Rattus norvegicus: one gene and its partners. The protein of the gene in region 1 purifies or fractionates together with the protein of each later gene. This does not show direct contact. Links are inferred from orthologs where the notes say so. Each region holds a gene or a part of one and is shown on either strand. Other genes may lie near its edges.

Region 1 (7,748 bases):
ATTTTTACATCCGAATCTTTCCTTTTCACTGCGAAGTTACTTGCGATTGAGCCGTTTGGTTATCTTGCGTTTGACAGACCCACTGGGGGCGTTATGGCATTGTGGAAGACTCTGGAGAACTAGGTTTTTCTGTAGCTTAGGTGACCACATGCTCTTCTGCTTTGCCTAAGGTGACCATGATTTATGCTGTTGTCCTTGTACAATTATTAGTAGCATCACTTTGCACTTTCAGACCTGTTGGAGGACAGACTATCTTGCCTCTCTTCCCAGAGCCCAGCTAAGTCCTTTGGTGTGTTATCTGGGTTCAGCATTGCACAGTTGAGATTTGGCCTCTAATGAGGCTGCTCTTTCACTCAAACACATTGTTTCTTGACCAACAGAAGTGTATAGCAAAAGTAACTTCAATTCATATCTGTAAATATTTAGAATTTTTCTTAAGGCATTCTCTGCATCTGTGTTTCTTGCCTCTCTGTTGTATGTATATGTGTACACACATAAAATAAGGGACAGTCCACTTCCAGCAAAAAATGGGTTCTACACATGAAAATGAAAAGCATTTGATATCTTTAACATGCTGAAACCAATACTGTGAATACTTTTTGTGTTTAATAAATTTTCTAGTCCTTTGAGAATTTTATACATTGCATTTTGATCATAGTACCGTCCTTCCCAGCTTCTCCCAGATTCACCCACCTAAGTTTGTGTGTGTGCTTTTTTCAATCCATCAAGTTTCATTTGTTCTTCCTGTATACTCTTGAGCATAGGATCCACTAGAGCACCTTTGTTTTGCTCAGCAAGAAAGTAAAAATATTTTTTAAATTAATGCATTACCATTCTAAACATTCATCTGTTTTTAAATAGTAAAAGATTGAATTTTGATGCCTTGAATATGTAATGATTCATTATAACAATTATGCAGTCTTTAATAATCTGTATATTTTATGCTGCTTTCATGTTTTTCCTAATTAATGACTTCACATGTTTAATATTTATAATTTCTCTGTCATAGTTTCCATATTTATATAAAATGAATACTTAAGATCAGCAACTCTGCTCTTTTTGCTTATATACTATTTTCCATCAAAATAGAAAATGGGACTGAGGCTTAGGCTTGTTGGTGGAGCACTTGCCTGGAATGCAGAAGGCCCTGTGACGGAAACCTAAGGCTGCAATAAATAAGTGGGAGAGAAACAGGCTGGGGGTGTAGTTCTGACTTAGAACATGTGTTCGGCATTATGTGAAGCCCTAACACTGGAAAAGGAAAGCAAACAAAAGCACACACTTGAAAACTCAAGTGGTTTGGTAATGTACTACTCTAGTGTTTAGAATTAAAATGTGATTGTGCCATTATTTTTATGTCATCACTGGATAATTTATTAGTGCTTAGTATCAGAAATATATTCCTTATGTTTTGTGTTCTGCAGTTCCTAATGCAATGTTCTCTTTTTAGAAAAGGTGGACAAGTCGTATTTTCAAGAGAAGATGACTTTTAACAGTTTTGAAGGATCTAGAACTGTTGTACCTGCAGACACCAATAAGGATGAAGAATTTGTAGAAGAGTTTAATAGATTAAAAACATTTGCTAACTTCCCAAGCAGCAGTCCTGTTTCAGCATCAACATTGGCGCGAGCGGGGTTTCTCTACACTGGTGAAGGAGACACCGTGCAGTGTTTCAGTTGTCACGCGGCAGTAGATAGATGGCAGTATGGAGACTCAGCTGTTGGAAGACACAGGAGAATATCCCCAAATTGCAGATTTATCAATGGTTTTTATTTTGAAAACGGTGCCACACAGTCTACATCTCCTGGCATCCAAAATGGCCAGTACAAATCTGAAAACTGTGTGGGAAACAGAAATCATTTTGCTCTTGACAGGCCGTCGGAGACTCATGCAGATTATCTCCTGAGAACTGGACAGGTTGTAGATATTTCAGATACCATATACCCGAGGAACCCGGCCATGTGTAGTGAAGAAGCCAGACTGAAGACGTTTCAGAACTGGCCAGACTATGCCCATTTAAGCCCCAGAGAGTTAGCTAGTGCTGGACTCTACTACACGGGGATTGATGATCAAGTGCAATGCTTTTGTTGTGGTGGAAAACTGAAAAATTGGGAACCCTGTGACCGTGCCTGGTCAGAGCACAGGAGACACTTTCCCAACTGCTTCTTCGTTTTGGGCCGGAATGTTAATGTTCGAAGTGAGTCTGGTGTGAGTTCAGATAGGAATTTCCCAAATTCAACAAATTCTCCAAGAAATCCAGCCATGGCAGAATATGACGCACGGATCGTTACTTTTGGAACATGGCTATACTCAGTTAACAAGGAGCAGCTTGCAAGAGCTGGATTTTATGCTTTAGGTAAACTTCACCAGTAAATTACTTTCCAAATGTCACAGGGCTCCTAAAAAGAAAATCGTTGCCTTTAGTTTGCTCATTATCAGTATCATTCTCTGAACTCATATGTTAAATCTTTGATGGAACTACTGAATTTGTGTTAAAAGGCTCTGCTTTTATGAGTCAGATCTGTTCAAGTAATTCTTGGGTGGGGGAGGTTGCAGTTGAGAGAGAAAAGGTGGTATCAATTCCTGAAAGATAGTGGATCTAATAGTAATACTAGCTGCCATTTATTGAGCATCTACTCGATATGCTCAAAATACCTACTACATGGATTTTCTCTACACTTCACCACAATCCCATAAACACAGTTACTATTAGAGAATTTAGTCTGAGTCATAGTAAATTGACATCAAGCTGAGTAAGCATGAGACCACATACCAGTAATCCCAGCAATCTGTCAGCTGAGTAGAAAGGCCAGCATGAGTTTGAGGGCACTTTGGGCTACACTGTGATACCAAAGCCAACCAAACAAAAATTACCATCTACCTTTAAGCATACTCCACATATTCAGAGTACTTTTCAAACGATTCCTGTGCATGTCTCAAGAAAAGCTGGCAGTGTTATGGCTTCTAGAAATTTTAATCTATATGCCTGATTCATTTAGGATTAAATATAGCCAAATTCAAAATATACATTATTTCAGTTATATAATACAGTAATCTTTTTTAGATTTATTTATTTATTTTATGTATATGAGTATACTGTAGCTGTCTTTAGAGACACTAGAACAGGAATCATATTACAGATGGTTGTGAGCCACCACGTAGGTGCTGGGATTTGAACTCAGGACCTCTAGAAGAGCAGTCACTGCTCTTAACCACTGAGTCATCTCTCCAGCCCATAACATAGTGAGCTTAAAGGTCTGTTTCATGACAGAGAGCTTGTTCTTAAAGATAGTTACCTTGTAATTTATGCTGAACTTTAACATTTGCAATAAAACTTAAACAGTTTTCAGTTTGATAAAGTAAATTTAATAGTGATGGTCCAAGTGACATATACTGGAAAAATGTAGTTTCTAATATAAAAACTGTGATTTTTCTTTGTCTTCTACAAAGTACATTATATTGAGATGATGAATTTAGTACATATTTTCCTTCAAATGACAAAGAGCATATCTAGGTATGATACCATCTTGAATGTTGTCTTTTAAGCCATGAGGTTTGATATAATTAGACACTCCTCAAATGTTAGAATGGGCATTTTCTGAAAACTTACACTTGAACAGAAACACATAGTTTTCCTTGTGCGCTTTCTTAGGTGAAGGTGATAAAGTGAAGTGCTTTCACTGTGGAGGAGGGCTCACGGATTGGAAGCCAAGTGAAGACCCTTGGGAACAGCATGCTAAGTGGTATCCAGGGTAAGATCCTTAATTGTTCATTCACTAATAGGCAAGTTGGACATTGTGCAGTGGAAACATTTGAATTACTTTTCACCTCAACTATTTTTGCCTTCACTATGGCTTGAAATTCACACCAAGTTTACAGAAATGGGGTCACCTACTTTGTAGGGAAAAAACCCACCTAAGACTTCTGGTAACCATAACATTCACTGCTTATATGTCATATGATACTTAGATAATTCTTCTATTTCTAAAAATCAAATTATAAAAATATATACATTTTTATTTAGTATAGTATACAAAAATAAATACTTTTTACTTAGAAGTAGGCTCTTTGGAGATTGGCATGAGCCCATGGTGCCATGAGAAGACCTGAAGAATGATCATAATGTATATTATTGTTTGTTTGTTTAATCTGAGACAAGGTCTCACATTACCTCAGGTTGACCTGAAATTCCCTATGTCTTCCAGGCTGGCCTCCATCTTGAAACCCTCTTGTCTCAGTTTCTTTGTCATCTTCCCTCTGTAAAATACAGTACTCAGCTAGCTTTATAAGTTATGTGAGCTTCTAATATATAAAATAATACCACTCCAAACATTAGAACAATCATTTGAAAAGAACCCTTTAAAAGCCACATTCAAGTTAAATGAGTGTTCAGTACTGATTTAAAAAGATTAACCATTTTGAACTTGTAAAAAACTGTCAGTATTGGTGATGGTGGCACATGGCTTTAATCCCAGCACTCAGGAGGCAGAGGCAGGTGGATATCTTAAATTTGAGGTCAGCCTGGTCTGTGGAGTTCCAAGATAGCCAAGGCTATACAGAGAAAACCTATATCAAAAAAAACCAAACAAGTAAAGAAATAGTAGCAAGTCACTGTTAGGTACTAATTTACTGGTTGCTTTTTACCTGCTGTCAGGTTTAGGTTTGTTTGTTTGAGATATGGTTTTTACGTAGTCTTAATTGGCCTGCATATTCCTATGTAGATTACGCTGCCCTTAAACCTCGTGCCAGTCTTCCAACTTGCCTTTTGAGTATTACAGAGGTGTGGTACCATGCTTGTCTTTTTTGTTTCTATTTTGGGATAATATTTTTTGTACATCAGGCTGTCAAGAATTCACTATGGAGCCAAAGATGGCGCTAAACTTCTGTACTTGGTTAATTCAGGTGTTTGCCACCATGCCTAGCTAATAACTTTTTTGACTTTTTTTTTCATTTTCTTTTTTGGCACTGGCTATATAAATAGCCCAGAGTAGCCAGGTTTTCATATTGGTCTTCGTATCTCAGCCTCCCAAGTGCTGAGATTACAGTCGGATGTCACCATACTTGGTTCCTAATTTAGTAACTCTTACTTGAAAATTGAAAGTTCTCAAATTGATAGTATTAGCATGATTATAGCCTTGGAATCATAGCTGGATAGGGAATTGGATAGCAGTGCTTTGTGGCTCCTCAGAAACAGTGTATGAAGCTGACCATTTAACCTCAGCTACTTCGGAGTCTGGTGAGATGGGAGGATGGGAATATCCAGGCCTGTCTAGGCTACAGAGCATACTCAAGGCCAGCCTGGACCTCTTAGAACCCAGCTCAAATAAAAAGACTGGGGTGATTTATGGTTATTCCTGCTTGGGCAGGAGTATTAGAAGTCCAAGGTTACGTTTGACTACATAGCAAATTTGAGGCCAGCTTTCGAATGGCCTCTGATGGAAACTGATGTTATCATTCAGTGATGGAGTGCCCGCTAAGGTACTCATGAGCCTTAGTTTAATCCCCAGTAACACATACAAAAAAGACAATGAAAGGATAGGTTTTGTTTGTTTGTTTGTTGCCTGGGTTGGGGATGTACACAATTGGAGGTTAGAGTACAGCCTGGAGGAGTTTGTTCTCTCCTAACATGTGAGCTCCTGAGATTGAACTCAGGCATCAGACTTCTCGGAAAGTGCCATCTCTCTGGCCCCCAAAAGGTAGTTAATGGAATTTATATGATAGAGACTGTCTTTACTAGTACTTCTCTAATTTATCAGCTAGTAGAATTTAATTTTCTTTAATCTTTCAGGTGTAAATATCTATTGGATGAGAAGGGACAAGAATATATAAATAATATTCATTTAACCCATTCACTTGGGGAATCTGTGGTAAGTTGCTTATTTGCAATGTGTTTTCAAATTCTATATCTTTGTTTTTCTTTTGTTTTCATTAATTTATTTATTCACTTTACATGCCATTATCCACCCCTATTTCCCAGTTTCTCCTTCACACAACTTCTTCCTCCGTATACCCTCCTTTTTCCCTGAGAAGGGGGAGACCCTCCCTGGGTATCACCACACCTTGGCATATCAAGTCACTGCAGGACTAGGTACATTATGCCGAGCCAGCAGGGATGCTCAGTTAGGGGAACAGGATCCATAGGCAGGCAATAGGTTCAGGAACAGCCCCTGCTCCATTTGTTCAGGATCCACATGAAGACCAAGCTTCACATCTGCTACATATGGGCGGGGTCTAGGTCTAACCCATGTTTGCTCTTTGGAGGGTGATTCAATCTCTGGGAGCCCCCAAGGGTCTAGGTTAGTGGACTCTGTTGGTCTTTCCTGTGGTCGGTCTCTCTCTCTCTCTCTCTCTCTCTCTCTCTCTCTCTCTCTCTCTCTCTCTCTGTGTGTGTGTGTGTACATACGTGTACACACCATGTGTTGTACCTGAGGAAGCCATAAAAGGGCATGATTTGGTATTAAAATTACAGGCAGTTATAAGCTGCCCAGTATGAATTCTGGGAACTGAACTCTGGTCTTCTAGGAGAGCAACAGGTGTTCTTAACTGCTAAACCATCTCTTTAGTAACCCTTTAGCGGATAATACTTAAGATTACAAAAATAAGGACAGGGATATACATGGGTTTTACTTTTTCTGGCTAGCATAAACAAGCCCCTGGATTCAATCTCTGATAAGACAAAAAAATTTAATAATATGTCTGAATTGACATATAGGACAGTGGCAATCATAGCATTAGTAAACTGAGAAGAACCTTGGACTGTGATGGGAGTCTAGAACTGACATGATGGTTCTACCATTAGTTTCTAGTTGAGTTTGTATTTGTTTCCCTCCGGGGAGTCATTTGATCTCATTGGCCCTTGGCTTCTTGTTTGTAAAGGGGCGATGATTAGATAGTCTTGCCTTCCTTCCATTCTGTTGGCTGGGCTCTTATGGATAGGCATGTTTCGAATTAGAATAAAGCCAATTTGTTTTATGTTTATTAACTTTTCAAATTGAGATAATTGCTTTTTGCTAAAGTGAAATCTTACCATTCATGTTTCTATTTTAGGTAAGAACTGCTGAAAAAACACCATCAGTAACTAAAAAAATCGGTAAATATGTTTATTAAAAATCTGTTTAGTTTTGTGGCCAGTTTATTATAGTTTGTTTAATGAGGCTGCTATAAATTTAAGAATTTAATTAAGTGCTTATAATTTTATACCAGACATTTTTGTAGTGAGTACATTAATAGAAAGCCAGGTGCTAGAGCGCTTGCCTAGGAAGCGCAAGGCCCTGGGTTCGGTCCCCAGCTCCGAAAAAAAGAACCAAAAAAAGAAGAAAAAAAAAAAAAAAAAAAAAAAAAAAAGAAAGCCAGGTGCTATGGTGCAAATCTATAATCCGAGCACTGAGGATGTTGAAGCAGGAGAATCCGGAACCTGTGGTCAGTCTGGGTTGCATGGCATGGTTTTAAGAAAGGAAGGAACGGAGGGAGGAAAATGTATTAAAGCAACAAAGGTATTAAAAGTTTAGATTTTAATTTTTCATTCATTTATTTATTTTATATGTATGGGTGTTTAGCCTTCATATATGTGTGCCTAGTTGCCCCAGAAGCCAGGAGAGGTATCAGATCCCCTGGAACTGAAGTTAAAGGTGGTTGTGAGCCACCATGTGAGTGCTGGGAACTGAATTCAGGTCCTCTGGGAGAGCAAGTGTTCTTAGCCTCTGAGCCATCTCAGTAGTCTATCTACTGTGTAGGCCGGACTGGCCTGG
Region 2 (8,528 bases), on another chromosome or scaffold:
CACTACATAGCCACAGAGTAAACCTCAACAACTGATACACAGTTTCCTTCAAGGAGCTAGACATGATGGTGTATACTTGTTAATCTCCACACTCCGGAGGTAGGAGTAAAAGGATCAGGAGTTCAAGGTTACCCTCAAACTGAGAACATGTTAATGTTAGCATGATCTACAAGAGACTCTGACTGAAAAAATAATTAACAGAAATCAATAGACAAATCTGGGTTTATTTATAGTTTGGCCAATGAGAACTGATTAATCTAGCCCTTCTCCATGTCTAAGGTCATCTTATAATTTACAGAAAGCCATGAGAGAAAAGGCTAAAACAGATGCAAATTTAAGTACAATACTGGCTAATTGTTTTTTTCCTGGGAGGAAGGGAACATGGATTCCCACCATTCTCCATTCCAAAGACAGGTTTTTATTAAATTTGAGCCAAGAAAAATGGAATCTTAAAGATGCCTCTATTTTTAAAAAAGAAAGTAGCCTGGATGTTTCCTGGGATGGGAACTCACTACCCAGAGTCTTTGTCCCTAGGTCCCTTCCTTTAATAGATTTACGTTGGACCTTTCCCATCTTTCTTTGGTGGTCAGCTTCAAGTTCAAGACTCCTGTTTGCCTGTTAAGCACACTCATTCCATAAGTGGGGGTGGGGGGTGGCAGTCTCGTGGCTGGAAGGAGGGTCACAGTGTCTATAACATCTTTCAGCACAGGACCACAGTGAGTCCTGAAGCCTAGGCCAGGCTGGGTTGTTCTGTTCAGGCCCCTTTGGCTGCCATTTATCATTAACTCCTGTTACAATTTGTATAAGTACTGAACAAAATAATGTATACTATATGGTAGGTTGACAGACCTCTGGACTCCATTAAACCTTAAGGCTGGGGCTAAGATAGCACCCCGGACCTGTTGGGGACATCTTGCCTGATGTAAGCAGCGTCTGGGTCTGTATAAGGTTGCCCACTTTTATGTAGCTCACCTGTTTGATGACCACGCCTGCTTTCTCTGGGACTACGACAGGTTTGCGCAATTTGTTCTGAATAGGACCACATAGAACCAGACACCTTTCCTTGGTGTAACATATACCTGTAAAGCATGCCTGTAACTTAAGTGAGGAAGGTTTCCTTTGGTTCCCAGTTTGAAGGGGAGGGTAGTTATCTTGTCGTTCTGACTGGATTTGGAGTCACTAAGAAGACGGGCCTCGGGATTTGTTTCCAGAGAGGTTTGACTGAGGCAGAAAGAGCAACCAGGAATGGGGGCAGCAGCATCCCACGCGGTAAGGTGGTAAGGTGAATTGATAAGAAAGTGAGTGAGCACCAGCACTTGTCTTCCTCCTGACTCAGACTCAGTGTGACCAAGGCCTCATGCTCCCACCACCACGCCTTCCCGACCATGATGAACTGCATCCTCCAACTGTCAGCCACGTCATCCTTTTCAAAGTTGAGACTATTTTGCCACAAGGAGGCAAAGGGACACTAATCTGTCATGGTGGGGAGGCGTGGCCGTGGGCAGGCAACAGCTGTTTGTTAGCTGGTCCAGAGAATAGAAAGTAATCAGACCTGAAGCAGGGCTAACCTATGAACCCCCAAGACATGTCCCTCCTTAACCTGTTTCCTCCAGCAAGGCCCTACTCCCTGAAAGGTTCACAAGCTCCTAAAACAGCACGGTCATCTAGGGGACAATATCCAGACAGAGGAGACTTCACATTCAAATGGTAACATGTATCCTTGGAGGGCCATGTTATTGGGGAACAAGGTGTTTATACTTCTGGGACTCAGTCATTCAAATTGGCTCAGAACAAACTAATTCTTCTTTCAGGATTGTCAATAGGAAAGTATTGTGATTTTCTTTATTTTTTTCGTTTAGCCATGTTAAGGATTGAACCTAGGGCCTTGTATAGGCTAAGCAAGTGCTGTTCTAACAACATCTTGGCCAGCCCTAACAGTTTACTTATAGATAAAGAGAGTATGTTCTATGACCATAGAGCTGTGGTGTAAGTTCTCAAGCCAGTAACATAGCTGTCTAGTGTGATTATCAAATATAGTGCACGATATTCAAAACGTGTGTGTGTGTGTGTGTGTGTGTGTGTGTGTGTGTGTGTGTGTGTGTGTTTGTGAAGATCAAAGAACAACTCGAGGGATTTGGTTCCCTCTTTCCACCATCCTCGGGGATTGAACTCAGGCTGGCAGGTTTAAGTGCCTTTATCCGCTACACCAGCCCTGTAGGAAATGCATGCTACATTTTTTGTTTCTTAATTTTTATTCGGCATTTTAATATATGTGTGTAATGCAACTTGATCATGTTCCCACACCCCTCTGCTTACTTGCAACCTGCATTCATGCCAAGGGCACACAAGTGCAAGTGACTTAACTGTGTGCGACACCACTGGGTGACAGGACTTCTGCCGTTCTTCACATGTAACCTTATGTGGCTACTGTGTATGCAGTAGCTGTAACAGTTCTACTGTTGACAGAAACGCCATTATTTAGTGCATGGTTATATCTGTAAATGTATCAGTTGTCACTGAGATATACTCTGTGATGTGTGTGTGTGTGTGTGTGTGTGTGTGTGTGTGTGTGTGTGTGTGTTAGGTACCAACCCCAAAGCCTTATACATGATAGGCAAGTGTCAGACCAATATCTATACTCCAAAACCCCTTGGTCATTTTCGTTCATCTAATGATGCCCTGCTTCTTCCTGTCAGGAAAAAAGATGATGAACACAGGAAACCAGCATTGTTCTGTGTCCATTGACTCCCATGATGCACTGTGAGGAAACCAGCATTGCTCTGTGTCCACTGACTCCCATGATGCACTGTGAGGAAACCAGCATTGCTCTGTGTCCACTGATGCATTGAGATGATTTTGGACATGGGCTGCCTTTAACAGAATTTGTTTTCTTTGAACCTCAAAGACTCAAAGACACGAGGTCAGCTAGTCTTGTTGGGCAACTGCCTAGGGCTGTGGTGCCTCCTTGGGACAGCAGCACATTGCTGGGACACAGCAGCAATTTTGCATGCTGTTTCCAGGAGCACCTGGACCTTGCAGTCACCTAGGAGCCCCAGTGTAACCCAGTCAGCCAGGAGACAGCTTCCAGAAGGCTGAGACGACTCAAGCTCCCAGTTATCTTGTCTAGATTTGAGCGCAGCTCCTCCAGCATGGTGGCTGGGGCAAAAGAGTCACAGCTTGGGCCACGTTGCCTGGGCATTTGTGCAGGTGATTCAGGCCCTTGGTGACTCTGTTTTACCAGCCGTGGATGGGATAGCAAAACCTCTTGATGGTGCCTGTCACCCTGGGCTTACATTATTGTTTGCCATCATTTTTTGTTTGATTGGTTGGTTGGTGGTTGGTTTCCCAGCAGAGGACAAGTCCAGGAGACACAGAGTTATCCCTGGCTACTCCCCAAAGACTTGCCCCAAATCCTGTAGCCTGAGCACCCAGCACCCAGCACCTCCTGCTCAGTTCCTCACAGACTTTATTTTCAAAGTCACCACAAACTGGAACCACACGGGGTACAGGGCATGTAGGAGCTGCTTCTCCAGGAAACAAACTCAAGCTTAGCATCCAAGGAGAGACCAGACAGAAGCAGAGTGGAAGGGTCACAGGTTGAGAAGGGGGCGGGACCCAGATGGAGGCAAAGCCAGTTAGAGGGCGGAGGGAGGGAGGGCGGAGGGAGGGAGGGGCTGTTGTGCTACCCAGAGGAAACCTGACAGCTAACTCCCACCCTGGAGGTCGCAGTCACAGTAGCACAGAGGCAGCACAGGACTAGTGGCACAGCAGAAGACTAGCCCATGCTGCAGAATGGCCTTCTGGGAGTATCTAGCTACAGAGATCTGGGAACCGCCCTGGGCTGAGAATTCTAGAAGTCTCCTCCTCCCTGCTGTGAGTCTGGGCTGGGGAAACACTTTCGGTTTTGTTTTGTGTGCAAAGAAACAGAAACTCCACCGAAGTACTCTGAGGAGCAGACCATGGAGGACGACTTCCAAGTGTGCAGGAACTGGTAAGAAGGCATCTTCTCCAGGGCTGGCCAGAGAGAGGGGCAGAGCAGAGCAAACAAATTCTGAAGTGAGGAAGATGAAGTACAATACCAGAGGATGAGCCAAAGGGGACTGGACGCTCTGGTGTAAGGAGGCTCCAGATCTCTAGGTAGAGTGCTCAGTGGGGCCTCGATATCACTGTCCCCCTTTAGCACGGGTGTTTCAGGCTGGCTGGTCAGCCATGAAGTATGGAGGGACTAGTCCCTAGCAGAGTGTTTATTCCTGTCAGAGCTTAGGTCCCTAGTGTGGGGCCCCAGCAGCATGGTCTTCCCACCCATCTGTGAGAGGAACCTTGAGAGATATTCCAGGGTTATTCCTGTCCCCTGACAGACAAAGGAGCTGGAGGAAGAGCACGAGGGACTGAGCGGGAGGCAGTGACCACACCTCCAAGTAAAGAGAGCTGGTTTCTCAGCAGACCCCACCGGTTGCCATAACTGGGGTAAAACTCCCCCAGAGACCTTTGTTCCACCTTTCAGAATCTCTGGACTATGGATTATGGAGGCAGGCAGGCAGAACAGAGAAGGCAAACAGAGTAAGGGATGTCATTCTGTGCAGCCATGGGGACAGCTGGATCAGGCTAACAGCAGTGAGGCCATGAGCCAGATCCTGTGGCCCTGGGGGCACCTCCCCTGAACAACTGGTCCTTTAGGGATACAGCCTGTGTTTCCTTTCTCCTGAGCTGCCATCAGCATGGGCCAGTGGAATGGGCGGGCAGTATTCCTGGTGATGCGAGTGTCACAGGAGGACACCCTGCCCTGCAGGTGGGAAACGCCACTGGGTCTCAGCAGCTCTGGGTGGCTGCAGGGGAGCCCACGGACAGGAGACAGCTAGGTAGATGGACTTTTGCTCTTGAGAGTTGGGAAACCCTTGTCCCTGAACTGTGGGCAGGGCAGGGCTGCAGGGCCGACTCTACTTATTTATTCTCATGACGGCCTGTCTGGGAGATAACCAGAAAAGAATAAAACTTTACCTCCCCATCCCCTCTCTGTGGGGGGATGCTGGGGAGGGAGTGGTCCTGGGCACTGAGCCTAGGGCATCGCACAGGACCACCAAGCACTCCGAGTTGCTTTTTTCCCAGCTCCATTTTTCCTCTTCCTTTTGACCCGGGGTACCACTAAGTTGTCCAGGCTGCTCTTGAACTCACTCTATAGATTAGGGAGGCCGTAAACCAGCCATCTTCCTCTCTCAGTCTCAACAGCACCTGTGCCTACAGCCCTGGCTAACTCGTACATGTTTGAAGTGCACACCTTGGCACATAGTACTTATCTGGGAAACCATCCTACAAGCGAGGAAGTGGAATCTATCATCACTCTTAAAAGTTGCCTGTTGCCCTGGTAACGTCCTCCTCCTGCTCTCCTGGGCAGGGTGGTGCTTTGCAGACTGTCCTTGCGCTTAGGATAGTGAGTGTTCCTGATTCACCAGCACTGGCAAGGCAGGAGCGCATCATCAGCATCACTTCTTCCTGCGCCCCAGACCTGGAAAAAGCCTACCCTAGGTATGCAGCAAGGCCTCATGCTCTAGACTAAGATGCTGCGCCTTTCTTTCTCCCCTTTCCCCCACTTCATCCTGAAGCAAAAGAAGTGTGGCCTCTAGCCACTTCACTCTCCATGAGGCCCACTGCCTGCGTTTCCTGGTCCTTTGCCCGGAATGTGAGGAGCCCATCCCAGAGTCAAAGATGAAGGAGCATGTGGAAGCTGTGCACCAGCAGGTGAGCAGGTGGGCAGGTAGGCAGGTGGGCAGGTGGGCAGATGAGCAGGTGGGCAGGTGAGCAGGTGGGCAGGTGAGCAGGTGGGCAGGTGGGCAGGTGGGCAGGTCGGCAGGTAGGCAGGTGGGCAGGTGGGCAGGTGAGCAGGTGGGCAGGTGGGCAGGTGAGCAGGCGGGCAGGTGGGCAGATGAGAAGGTGGGCAGGTGGGCAGGTGGGCAGGTGGCACAAAGGCCAAGGGAGTGTGTCAGCAACTGGAGTCCAGCCTTCCTAGCCCCTCCATGTTTGTTTGGCCTCCATTTTAGAAGCGAAAAGGGTTTTTGTTCTTGTTATATGCCACCCTAAGGATGTCCTCAGTTCCTCCCTTTCTACTTGCTACTGCGGGACTATGGGTCCAGCAGAACAAGGAATCCATTTCAACAAAGGTTAACTGTTCTTCAGAGACTTGTAAGGAGGAAGCAGGAGGGCCCAGCTCAGTCTTCTTGCCTAGCTTTTTGAGTCAGTCGCTCATGGCTTTATCTTTCTGAGAATCAAGTTCGGGCAACCATTTAGATTCAGGCTGATCCAGCAAACAGTTCTTGAGCCCTAGGCTAGGCGCTAGAGGAAAACTCGAGCAGCCACTCTGGGTCTCTGCCCTCTAGGATCTCATGGACCCAAGTGTGGAGCACAGCAAGGCAGCTGATGTAAGGAGGGGCCAGGGGCTGGGCTTGAACCCACGTCCCTCTGTACTTGTGTTTGTGTCCTACTTAAGGTTACTGCTTTGATGTAACCTCCGGGAAAGCAACTTGGGGAGGAAAAGGTTTATTTGGCTTACACTCCTATATCACTGTTCATCCTCAAAGGATGTCAAAACAGGAACTCAAAGAGAGCAGGAACCTAGAGGCAGAAGCCGATGCAGAGGCCATGGAGGGATGCTACTTATTGGCTTGCTCCCCCCATGACTTGCTCAGCCTGCTTTTCTTCACAGAACCCAGGACAACCAGCCCAGGGATGGGATGGGCCCTCCCCCATCAATCACTATGTAAGGAATTATCTTTCTCTCTCTCTCTCTTTTTTTTTTTTTTTTTTTTTTTTTTTTTTGAGCTGGGGACCGAACCCAGGGCCTTGCGCTTGCTAGGCAAGCGCTCTACCACTGAGCTAAATCCCCAACCCCAGGAATTATCTTACAGCCAGATCTTAGAGGTGTTTTCTCAGTTGAGGTTTCCTCCTTTCAGATAACTCTGGCTTCAGTCAAGTTGACATAAAACTAGCCAGCACGGATGGAGTAGGCTGGACTATGTCAGCAGCATGTGCAAGCCCTCCCTTGTTGAAGTAGGAGTGAATTCTCCTCTATGGGCAAACAGGATAACAGGGGAGAAAAAGAAGAGGCAGTCATAAATATTCCCACCACCACCACTTCCTCCCCACCTGAGTGGCCAGGAGAATGATGAGAATCATCCCACTCCAAGGATGCAGATTATGCATACATACATACATACATTATTTGCATGCATACATACACACATACTTGCATACATACGTACACACTTGCATGCATACATACATACACACTTGCATGCATGCATATATACATACATGCTTGACAGGAGAATTCCACCATCCATGAGTTAGTAGTTAGTTTTTGTTAACTGGACACCGGCTGTGGTCACCTGGGAAGAGGGAATCTCAGGTGAACAATTCCATCAGATTGCCCTGAGGGTGTGTCTACAGGCAATTTCCTGATTAATGGCTGATGTAAGAAATCCCAGCCCACTGAGCCAGGTGGTCCTGGGTTGTAAAGAAAGCAAGCCAAACAAGCCAGTAGGCAACATTCCCATAGTCTCTGCTTCAATTCCTGCTTCTGGGTTCCTTCCTTGGGTTCCTGTCCTGGCTTCCCTCAATGATAGATGTGGTGTTGAAGTATAAAATGAAGTAAATCCTTTTCTCCCCAAGTTGCTTTTGGTCATGATGTTTATCACAGCAACAGAAGCAAAGTGGAACAGTGAGTCTAAGGAGTTCATAACCCCAAGGGCTCTCTCCGCCTCTGACCCTTGCCAGTACTTTGATTGGCTTCAGTTCCCTAGGAGGTTGGGCCTATGTTCTCCATCTTCCCACAGACCAAGGAAAGCCAACAGGACCCTGCCGAGTGCAAGTTCTGTGAGCTGGCTGTGCAACTCAGCAAGCTGGACGTCCATGAGTACCACTGTGGCAGCCGGACAGAGCATTGTCCACACTGCAACCAGCGCGTTATACTCCGGGTACTGGCACAGCACAAAGACCTGTGTCTGAGTGCAAAGGGCAAGCCTAAGGAAGGTGAGCAACAGGGAGAAGCTGGAGAGGGAGGGAGCAGCTCCCAGGGCCAGACAGTCTCCTGGGCAGGATGCAAGAAGTAAAACCCTTGACAGGATAGAAGAGTGTCCAATCTGTGTTTCCACCAAACTGGAGTAGCCTTCTTGTGTGTCTGTAGTAGCCTTTCATGACTTAATCAGGCAAAAGAAGAGGCCGGGGTGGGGGTGTAGAACACACTGAAGAGGGAGAGAAAGCCACGGGGAATCCCAAACACGCAGGGTTTTCTTTGCATTCCATAAGACACAACACTAGCCTGGTAAGACACACCTGAATCACCCTGTAGATGAAAATGTACAGAGAGATCAGGAAACAAACAAGACTGGACACTCCAGCTTCCAGCACTGAGCTAGATCCTAGGCTATTGAATGTTTTTATCATTCTGTGATTAATAATAAAAACAGATAAGCAGAAATAGCTAGAGGAAGGAAGGGTTTACTGTGGCTCATGGTTTGAGGACATAATAGCCTTGA
Region 3 (8,510 bases), on another chromosome or scaffold:
TTTCCTCCAACCAGGCCTCAGGTAAAAGCCATGAACTCACTGATGAATTAACCCACTGGAGTTATGCCATTGTCTTAGGGTTTTACTGCAGTGAACAGACACCATGACCAAGGCAACTCCTATAAGGACAACATTGAATTGGGGCTGACTTACAGGTTCAGATGTTCAGTCCATTATCATCAAGGCCGAAACATGGCAGCATCCAGGCAGGCATGGTACAGGAGGACCTCAGAGTTCTACATCTTCATCAGAAGGCAGACAGAAGACTGCCTTCCAGGCAGCTAGGACTAGGGTGAAAAGTCCATGCCCTCAGTGACACGACTACTCCAACAGGGCCACACCTCTCCATAGTGCCACTCCCTGGCCTGAGCATACACAAACTACCACCACCATCATATTCTATTACCCCTCAATCATGACATCTGGAGGGCTGGAGAGATGGCTCAGAGGTTAAGAGCACTGACTGTTCTCCAAGAGGTCCTAAGTTCAATTCCCAGCAATCACATGGTGGCTCACAACCATCTGAAATGACATCTGGAAACCAAGCCTTCAATACTTCATACTCATACAGAAAGGGAGTCAGACCCAGGTGGAACTCCGTGGCACTTGTACAGACTGCACTAGGAAGTTGGGATTCTGGGAAGAAAAAGTCCATTTCTTAACAAGAACAACAGCCTTCCTTTTTTTTTTTTTTTTTTTTTAAGAATTATTTATTTTATGCACAGCATTCTGCCTGCATATGTGATTGCAGGCCAGAAGAGGGCACCAGATCTCATTACAGATGGTTGTGAGCCACCATGTGGTTGCTGGGAATTGAACTCAGGACCTCTGGAAGAGCAGTCAGTGCTCTTAATCACTGAGCCATCTCTCCAGCCCAACAACAGCCTTCCTAACCGTGGGTTCCCTAGCCAGGGTTGCTGAATTTAAGCCATGCAGTAGGGGACAAACATATGTCTCCATACAGAGGTATCGTCCATTCCGTACAGTTCTATAACAGGGGAAACCACTAGGAGGAAGAAGCAGAGTAGTCAGTAGTCACCTCTACCAGGTGTTTGTCACAGGGCTTGCCCAGTATACTACTTGACACTTGTTCTGTGTAGAATTGTGCCCACCTCTTCACGTTGAAGACCTAACTCCCAACACCTCAGAATGTAATTGTATCTGGATACAGTTTTTTGTTTGGTGTTTTGAGACTGGGTCTCTCTAGCTAGCTTAGGCTGCTTCTGCTTTCTGAGTGCTGGGATTAAAGGCATGAGCCAACACACAGGGCTCGTGGATATAGTCTTAAAGAGTTCAAATAGGGTCCTTAGCGCAGACCTTAATTCAAAGTACCGGGTGTTATTATGAGATGAGAACACAGACACCAATCCAGTAAGCACACAGAAGTTTCCACCTACAGATTCAGGAAGACAGAGGCTGGTAGAAAACCCAAAACTTTGATCTGAGACTTCCAGTCTCCAAAACTCTCTGGAGAATTAACGGCTGCTTTGTGCACACTCCGGGTTTCCTGTACTCCAAGATGAGCACAAAATTCAATGCATCTGAATAACTCTGACATTCCGATTGTGTAGAATATAAGGACTGAGAAAGCCCTGGGCATCACTGTTTGCCTGTTCAACATGTTAGAAGATCCACACATAGTTTTTAAATCCAGCGGATCCACAGGTGTCGCCATAAACCCTCAGGCTCACTGCCCAAGATCAAGCCTCAGGGACACAAGAGTAATTCGCGGGGGAAGATGGGTAGCTGGATCCACTAGGAGGAGGAGCCCGGATAAAGCGCGCCACCCTACTGTTTGGTACTGGTAACTCCGTAACATCTCCTATCACCGTTGCTTAGCAACAACAGAGACGTCTGGCTTTTCGCGCGCTGAAACCCGCCCTCGATCTCGCGCGGGTTTATTCAGACCCCTTTAGCACACGAGTCCCGCCCCCAATGTAGCTTCCCGCTAACCCCGCGCCCCACCCCAGAGCCCCGCCTCTTAGTTTTTGGCCTATCCTGAGCTGCGGCATGCACTAGCCCCGCCCTAACACCCCTCTCGGCCTATCCCATGCCACGCCTTGCGTAGACCCCACCCCGCTGCGCCAGCGCCCTTGGCCTTTTCCCGCGCCCCTGCATTCCACTCACTGCCTCCCTCAGCCTATCCCTCGCGGCTAACTGCATAAGTCCCTCCCCCACCGTCTCGACGGCCTATCCCATGCAGCGACCCGCTTGAGGCGAGCCCCCAGTCTTTCTCCGGCCTATCGGGAGCCGCGCCCTCGTCCGCTCGAGCCTCAGCAGCGGTCCGAGTGAGTTGTGACGTGTTCGGCGCGCTGTGCGCTGCTGTGGGCTGTGTCTGGTACCCGCTATCATGCCCAAGCGGAGCTGCCCGTTCACGGATGCTGCCCCGCTTCAACTCAAAGTCCACGTGAGCCCGAGAGAGCTGAGCCACGGTGTGTTCGCCGAGCGCTACTCGCGCGAGGTCTTCGGTGAGTGTGGACTTCCGTGGGTACAGCGGGTTACGCCGCACGGGGCAGCGGGAGACGCCAAGCGCGTCGCGAGCCCAGGGTGAAGGCTGCTTCAGGCCGCTCCCGGAGAAAGCCGAGTCGAAGCCGAGTCCTGCCGAGCGGAGTAGCCTGGCGCGGGACAAGCAGAGGGACTGGGCGGGAGTGGGCGTGAAGGCGTACGCTGCCCTGGGCCCTCTTAAGTTGACTTCCCAGCGGATGGATGTTGTTGAGCATCGCTTCGCGGTGCGCAGAGTTTACAGCTGTACAGTTTTGAGTGGTGCCTCTGTGCCTTTGGAATGTGCGGAAAAAACAAACTCCCTACTCAGCCCCAGTATTTGCCTTTTCCCTTACTGTACGCTGGGAATGCAAACTCAAATGCTGAGACTCAGGGATGTAAAGTGTAAGGATGCAAAGTGTAAGGACTGAGTTGCAAAGAGTGTGTCCCCCAAAATGTAGACATGACCCGGCGTCCTGGCTTTTTTTTTTTTTTTTTAATGCCAGCACTCAGAAGGCAAAGGCCGGAGGATTTCTTGAGTTTGAGACCAGTGTGGGCTGTAGAGTGAGATGTCTTAAAACAGCAACCACACGATGCAAACACGACCCAGAAAATGCCTCAGCCGGTTAAAGTGCATTCTATGAAAGCCTGAACCTGAGTCAGGTCCCAAGAACATGTAGTAGGAGAGAATCGATTCCTGAAAGTTGTCTTCTGACCACACTCATAATAACTAAATAGCCAAGTGGATTTAATTTTTAAAAGAATGTAAGCATGCAGTTGAAAAGACGACCTAAGTATTCATTGGAACCTAACAGCCCAGCTCTACCGTTTTGTGGACTTATGTCCTGGAGCATTGTCAGGGCCGTCAGAGCCAGGCAGGTCAGGAAGGGGTGCTGGGCTATAGGGTGTTATATAGTACACACGGTTTACCAAGCCTGGGCCCACACTCTGGACTCTGGTGGACCAGGAGTCCTTGAGGAGAAAGATTGCTCTCACCGTAGAACTCTTCCCATTCCCCTTGTTTTTCAGACAGACTTTCACAGCGAGTCTTAGCCTGGCCTTGAACTTAAATAATCCTATCTTAAAGTAGGAGGCAAGTGAGCTGGAAAGCCACTCTGAATGTTTGCTTGCTTCCAGTGTCACAGAGAGGTCCCTGGGTCTGCTAGGTCTCGCCTGGCTGTAGGTGGGAGTGAGCATTTCTGGAACTTGCAACAGTGTTTCCCCTTAGGGCTCCCTGGGCCTGAAGCCTAAGGAGGAGCGGTTGTTACAGGTGTGAGCAGCCGCTTACCTGGGGTGGTAGGTTGGGAGGCCTTTGTCAGGGGTCGGTTGTCTTTCTCTCCTTTAGTAAAGCTGTTCACTGGCTTGGCAGTGGTGGTGGGTGCTGTTGTAAGCCAGTGTCTGTTTTCTGCCTCCTTGGGGCACTTGCTTTTGAGAATGAGTGCTCTCTGGCACCAAGACAAGCTTACAGGAGGAGAGCACAAACCCAGTGAAGTGAATTAGCCGTGGCTGCTGACAGTAGGTTAATGGAAGGAGTACCAGAGTTGCTGGTGGGCTTGGTAGAATCTGCCACCTGCTGTGGGAGGTGACAATGGAGCCCAAGGACCAAGGAAAGGGGACATCTTCAGCTTGGAGGCAGGGAGGCCCTGGCAAGGCCTCAGTTAGGGAACAGGCAAAGGGGACTCCTTTGGTGCCTTGTAGGGTCGTAGGATGGCTGTGCGAGGGCTTTGCAGTTGGGAGAGTTATCTTAAGGAAGGATCTTTTTCCCAGAAAGAACCAAGCAGCTCCTTTTCCAAGGGGCCCAGGCCTATAGAGATCACATCTGGGGTGAAGGTTGTTCCATCAACCACCTGCCGGAGCCACTCAAGCCTGGTCTGGTGGGAGCCCCTCAAGCTGCAAGGGGACAGATGTTGATTGGACCTGATGGCCGACTGACACGGTGCCAAGCTCAGGCCTCGGAAGCTGGTAAGTGGCTGCCAGTGGAAATTGCTTGCTATTACACCTAGGGAAGATGGCAGCAGATGTTCTGTCAGGAGCTTTGACTACCTGGGCAAGCAGGATCTGCTTAGAGCAGAGGTTCTCCGCCTGTGGGTCACAGCCTCTTTGACAAACCTGTCTCCAAAAATGTTCACGTTCCTGTTCATGACAGCAAAGTTATAGTTATGAAGTAGCAATGAAAATATGGCTTGGGGTTCGACAACATGAGGAACTGTATATATTAAAGGGTTGCAGCTTTGGGAAGGTGGAGAACCGCTGACTTAGAGCCTGGTAAGTTGAGAAAGGTTGCTGCCCCCCCACCCCCACCCCCATCCCCAGTCATCTAGAGTGGAAGTCACCGGCTTCTAACTGTTGTGTCAGACGCTCTCCTGGTGTCCCGTGTGCAGTAGGAATGTGCTAGTCCATTCTGTTGGGGGATGGTTCTCATGTGACTTGGGAGAAGCAGGACTCTGTGCAGCCCTGAAGCTTGTTGGGCCCCACAGCAGCCCAACTGACCAGTGGAACAGTAAAGCCCATCTTGAGGCCCAGACAGATACCGAGTTCCGATGGAGTACTCACCCCGCGATACTAGCAACAGGCAGGCAATCTGTCCTGGAGTCTTGTCACCAGTCCTGGGAACAAGTCATTGTGAGCCTTTACCCTAGTGCTCCGGGTGGGTGATAGGTTGTCAGAAGGACTCGGTTTCAGGGGAAGGAGGGTGCCCTCTTGTTCTTTCAGTATCCTTCCAGTGCTGACAGCCTGTGTTTTCTCCTCACAGGCCTTCCCGGGGCAGCACCCATTGCTTGTTCATCCTGCGTGAGATCTGTGGATGGAAAGGCGGTCTGCAGCCAGTGTGAGCGGGCCCTGTGTGGGCAGTGTGTGTACACCTGCTGGGGCTGTGGTGCCTTGGCCTGTGTGCTGTGTGGCCTGGCAGAGTGAGTCCTTTGATCTTTAGGGGTGCAGAGCTCATGGTTCCTCTTCTGTGAGGGGATAGGTGCTGGGTGGGTAGTCTCAGGACTCGGTGATCCTTTTGAAAGAAGTCCATGTTTCCCAGGTGTCTTTGGCCTGCTTAAAGCAGCTGCCTGGCTTAAACAGCCTTGTTGTCTGATCTTCTGAGTCCTTATAGTATTAGGGTTCCAACAGTCCACACTGTTGTTTAGCTTCAGTTTCTATCCAGTGTGCTTATGTGAGGATTGCCTCACACATGTCACTGGGTACATGGATGTTCAGGTCATGCCTGCCCTTGTTTTCTGGTTAGCAGTGATCTCTTAGGCAGTATGGAATAGATGCTGCTCACCCACTCGCTGCAGCCAGCTGAGTCAGCTACTTAGAAGTGCTTGGCGAGTGGGTGGACAGTGTAGAGCCCTGTCCCTTTGTTCCACACTGGAAGGACACAGTCTGCCAGATCAGTATGGGATCAGTACAGTGGATCCAGACAAGCTCAGCCCCAACATTTTCTAAAGCATGGGTCAGATGGGAAACCACACTTCATATGGCAAATCCTTGCCACCGGGGTACTCTTGAGGGTTTGGGGAGATCAGGAGTGCATGCAGGGTACTCTGGGGAGACGTCTTAGGAACCTGTAGGGCTGGTTCATGCTCAAGCTGGGAAGGAGAGTTTCTCAGGCTGCCTCCCAGCTTCTGGTGACTGCTTGCTGTAGGTCCTCAGGTTTGTGTCGGTGGCCATCTTATCGCTATGTCTTTTTGTCACTTCTGTGTGTCTCTTATGATATCTCACCTATCTGGTAAACCACAAAGGACTGGAGCCAAGATGTCAGACCCACAGAATGTTTCTATGCTAGACCTGCCATAGACAATGGTGTCCCCAAACTGTCCCTGAAATGACAGTCACCTGAGTCTGTTTTCAAACAAGTTCACATTCTGAGGTGTGATGGGATGAGGGCTTCAGTGAATAGGGATGAAATCAGCTGCTTAGGAATCTCCTCTCCTGTCAACTGTTGTAGCTATGCCGACGATGACGATGGTGAAAAGACGCTTTGCACCAGCTGCGCCATGTTTGAAGCCTGAAGTGGCCATGGACAGCACAAGATGTTCATACTAAAGAGAGAGAAGGTGGCTTTTTATATGTTATATTTTATACCCCAGGAACAAGTGAATAAACCTCTTTATATTTGCACAAGGACTCGCTTCTGTCTGTTAACTGTTCTTAGGGCGGCAGAGATGGCTGCAGGGCAAGCTCTCGCAGCAGCGTCGTGAGCCCCTGGTTATTACCCGAATCGGACTGATAGGCCAGGCCCAGGGAGGTCCTTCCCGTCCTCCCTCAGCTGTAAGAGGAAGCAGCTGAACTCCAAATCAAGCTGCAGAATGGTCACCCGTGTGCTAGGCCACCTCGTGCACCGAGTTACCACTGTCACCTGGCCAGCCATCAGTACCTACACTGCTGAGTTCCAGGTGATTTGATGAGGCCTGGCCCTTCAGGAAGTTTGGCCAGGTGGAGTGTTGTGTTGATTCTAGGGGTGTGACAATCCTCACCATATCTTCAGAGGTAGTTTATGCTGGGCTTTGGAGGGAGTTCCCAGGAGGTAAGGTGGCCTGGAAGATAGTGGTGGGCCAGTCACTGCAGCCACCTGGGTCTTCTGAGTGGTTTGCTGGTAGGTGTCTGGATAAACAGTGCAGAGGTCTCCTCGTCCTGCCCTCTAAGAACAGCTATGGCTGTTGCTTCCCATACACATCAGTGAGGTGCTGTCCTAGATGAGGTTGGTTCAGGTTTCCCAATAGGACCAGACAGTTGTCTCAGAGGCCCTTTGTGAGCAGGAGGCTTTGGGGGGCTGCAGGTGGGTTTACCAAAGCAAACCCTAATCGTACACCACACCCATACTTCCTTGGCTTCTGGTGCTGTTTTACCTGGCTTAGCTGTCTGCCAGGCCCTTTGGGCTCTCCCTACTCTGTCCTCTAGCCTACTACATTGTTGTTTATACTACAAGCTTCTGCTGTAGCTAGCCCACCTCTGTCACCAGTTGGGATCATTGCACAGCCCCCACCACCTTCATACTGTCCAAATAAAACTCCAGACTCTCTTGCTTCCTGTCCTCCTGGGGTTCACTTAAATCGGCTCACTCTCTTGGCTGGAGGCCCTTCCTCTGGGTGTTTGCATGGTTCCTTTATGTCTTTCTGGGTTAGGCTCAGAAGCATCCTAGTGCCTTAGTGCACAGCCCTGTTGCTTTTCTTTTCTTTTTTTTTTTTTTCTATTTTTTTCGGAGCTGCGGATCGAACCCAGGGCCTTGCGCTTGCTAGGCAAGCGCTCTACCACTGAGCCAGATCCCCAACACCCCCTGTTGCTTTTCTAATTCCACCATATAGATTATGGATGTCTGTGATTCCTCCCAGCTACCATGTAGGTTCCTGAGAGCTTCGACTTGGCTTCAAATGGCATCTTACATGTCATTGACTTGTAGTAATCCAGCCATGAGATAGCAGGGACTCAAAAACTGTTTAGGGAGTGTGTTTGACTGCATGGAGTTAGTGTGGGGATGCATGCATGAGTTTGCATGTGTGGAGCCAGCAGTTGGCTTTTTGTTTTGGTTTCATTTGGTTTGTGGGTGATTTGGCTTTCGAAGCAAGGCCTCTTCATTTGGCCTGGAGCTCACTGATTAGGTTAGGCTGTCTGGACAGCAAGCCTCAGGGCCACGCCTGTGTCAGACTCCCCAGCATGAGGAGTATAAACAAATGCCACCACTGTGCTTTTTAAAATATGTATTGTGCGGGCCAAACTTGGGTCATGTTTACATGGTAAGCATTTTGCCAACAGATGCTCTGTCCCCTATCCAACTATAAAAAAGAACAAAGTAGGGGCTGGGGATTTAGCTCAGTGGTAGAGCGCTTACCTAGGAAGCGCAAGGCCCTGGGTTCGGTCCCCAGCTCCGAAAAAAAGAACCAAAAAAAAAAAAAAAAAAAAAAAAAGAACAAAGTACCTAGACATTGGACAGCATCCAGTGTCTGATGATTACCCCAGAGGGAGTAGGTGAACCCAGGTGTCAGCTCCTAGCTGTGGTGTGGGAGGAGACTGAGAGCTTGTGATAAGGATTGAGATTTGGG

The links.
Region 2: the proteins of Xiap (region 1) and Xaf1 purify together in Homo sapiens (affinity purification with western blotting; 5 studies listed by BioGRID). This does not show direct contact. The link is inferred for Rattus norvegicus from reciprocal best matches to the Homo sapiens genes XIAP and XAF1.
Region 3: the proteins of Xiap (region 1) and Siva1 purify together in Homo sapiens (affinity purification with western blotting; 3 studies listed by BioGRID). This does not show direct contact. The link is inferred for Rattus norvegicus from reciprocal best matches to the Homo sapiens genes XIAP and SIVA1.

Annotation. Positions count from the first base shown.
Region 1 is NC_086039.1:125,784,598-125,792,345, forward strand, and holds part of Xiap (E3 ubiquitin-protein ligase XIAP), read left to right. Parts: intron 1-1,450; coding exon of another isoform or gene 1,451-1,482; coding exon 1,483-2,356; intron 2,357-3,652; coding exon 3,653-3,752; intron 3,753-5,788; coding exon 5,789-5,867; intron 5,868-7,047; coding exon 7,048-7,090; intron 7,091-7,748.
Region 2 is NC_086028.1:57,412,004-57,420,531, forward strand, and holds the start of Xaf1 (XIAP-associated factor 1), read left to right. Parts: upstream 1-3,931; 5' UTR 3,932-3,959; coding exon 3,960-3,991; intron 3,992-5,600; coding exon 5,601-5,736; intron 5,737-7,826; coding exon 7,827-8,022; intron 8,023-8,528. UniProt on the Homo sapiens protein: Seems to function as a negative regulator of members of the IAP (inhibitor of apoptosis protein) family. Inhibits anti-caspase activity of BIRC4. Induces cleavage and inactivation of BIRC4 independent of caspase activation.
Region 3 is NC_086024.1:137,524,194-137,532,703, forward strand, and holds Siva1 (apoptosis regulatory protein Siva), read left to right. Parts: upstream 1-2,222; 5' UTR 2,223-2,350; coding exon 2,351-2,468; intron 2,469-4,248; coding exon 4,249-4,443; intron 4,444-5,233; coding exon 5,234-5,390; intron 5,391-6,418; coding exon 6,419-6,482; 3' UTR 6,483-6,597; downstream 6,598-8,510. UniProt on the Homo sapiens protein: Induces CD27-mediated apoptosis. Inhibits BCL2L1 isoform Bcl-x(L) anti-apoptotic activity. Inhibits activation of NF-kappa-B and promotes T-cell receptor-mediated apoptosis.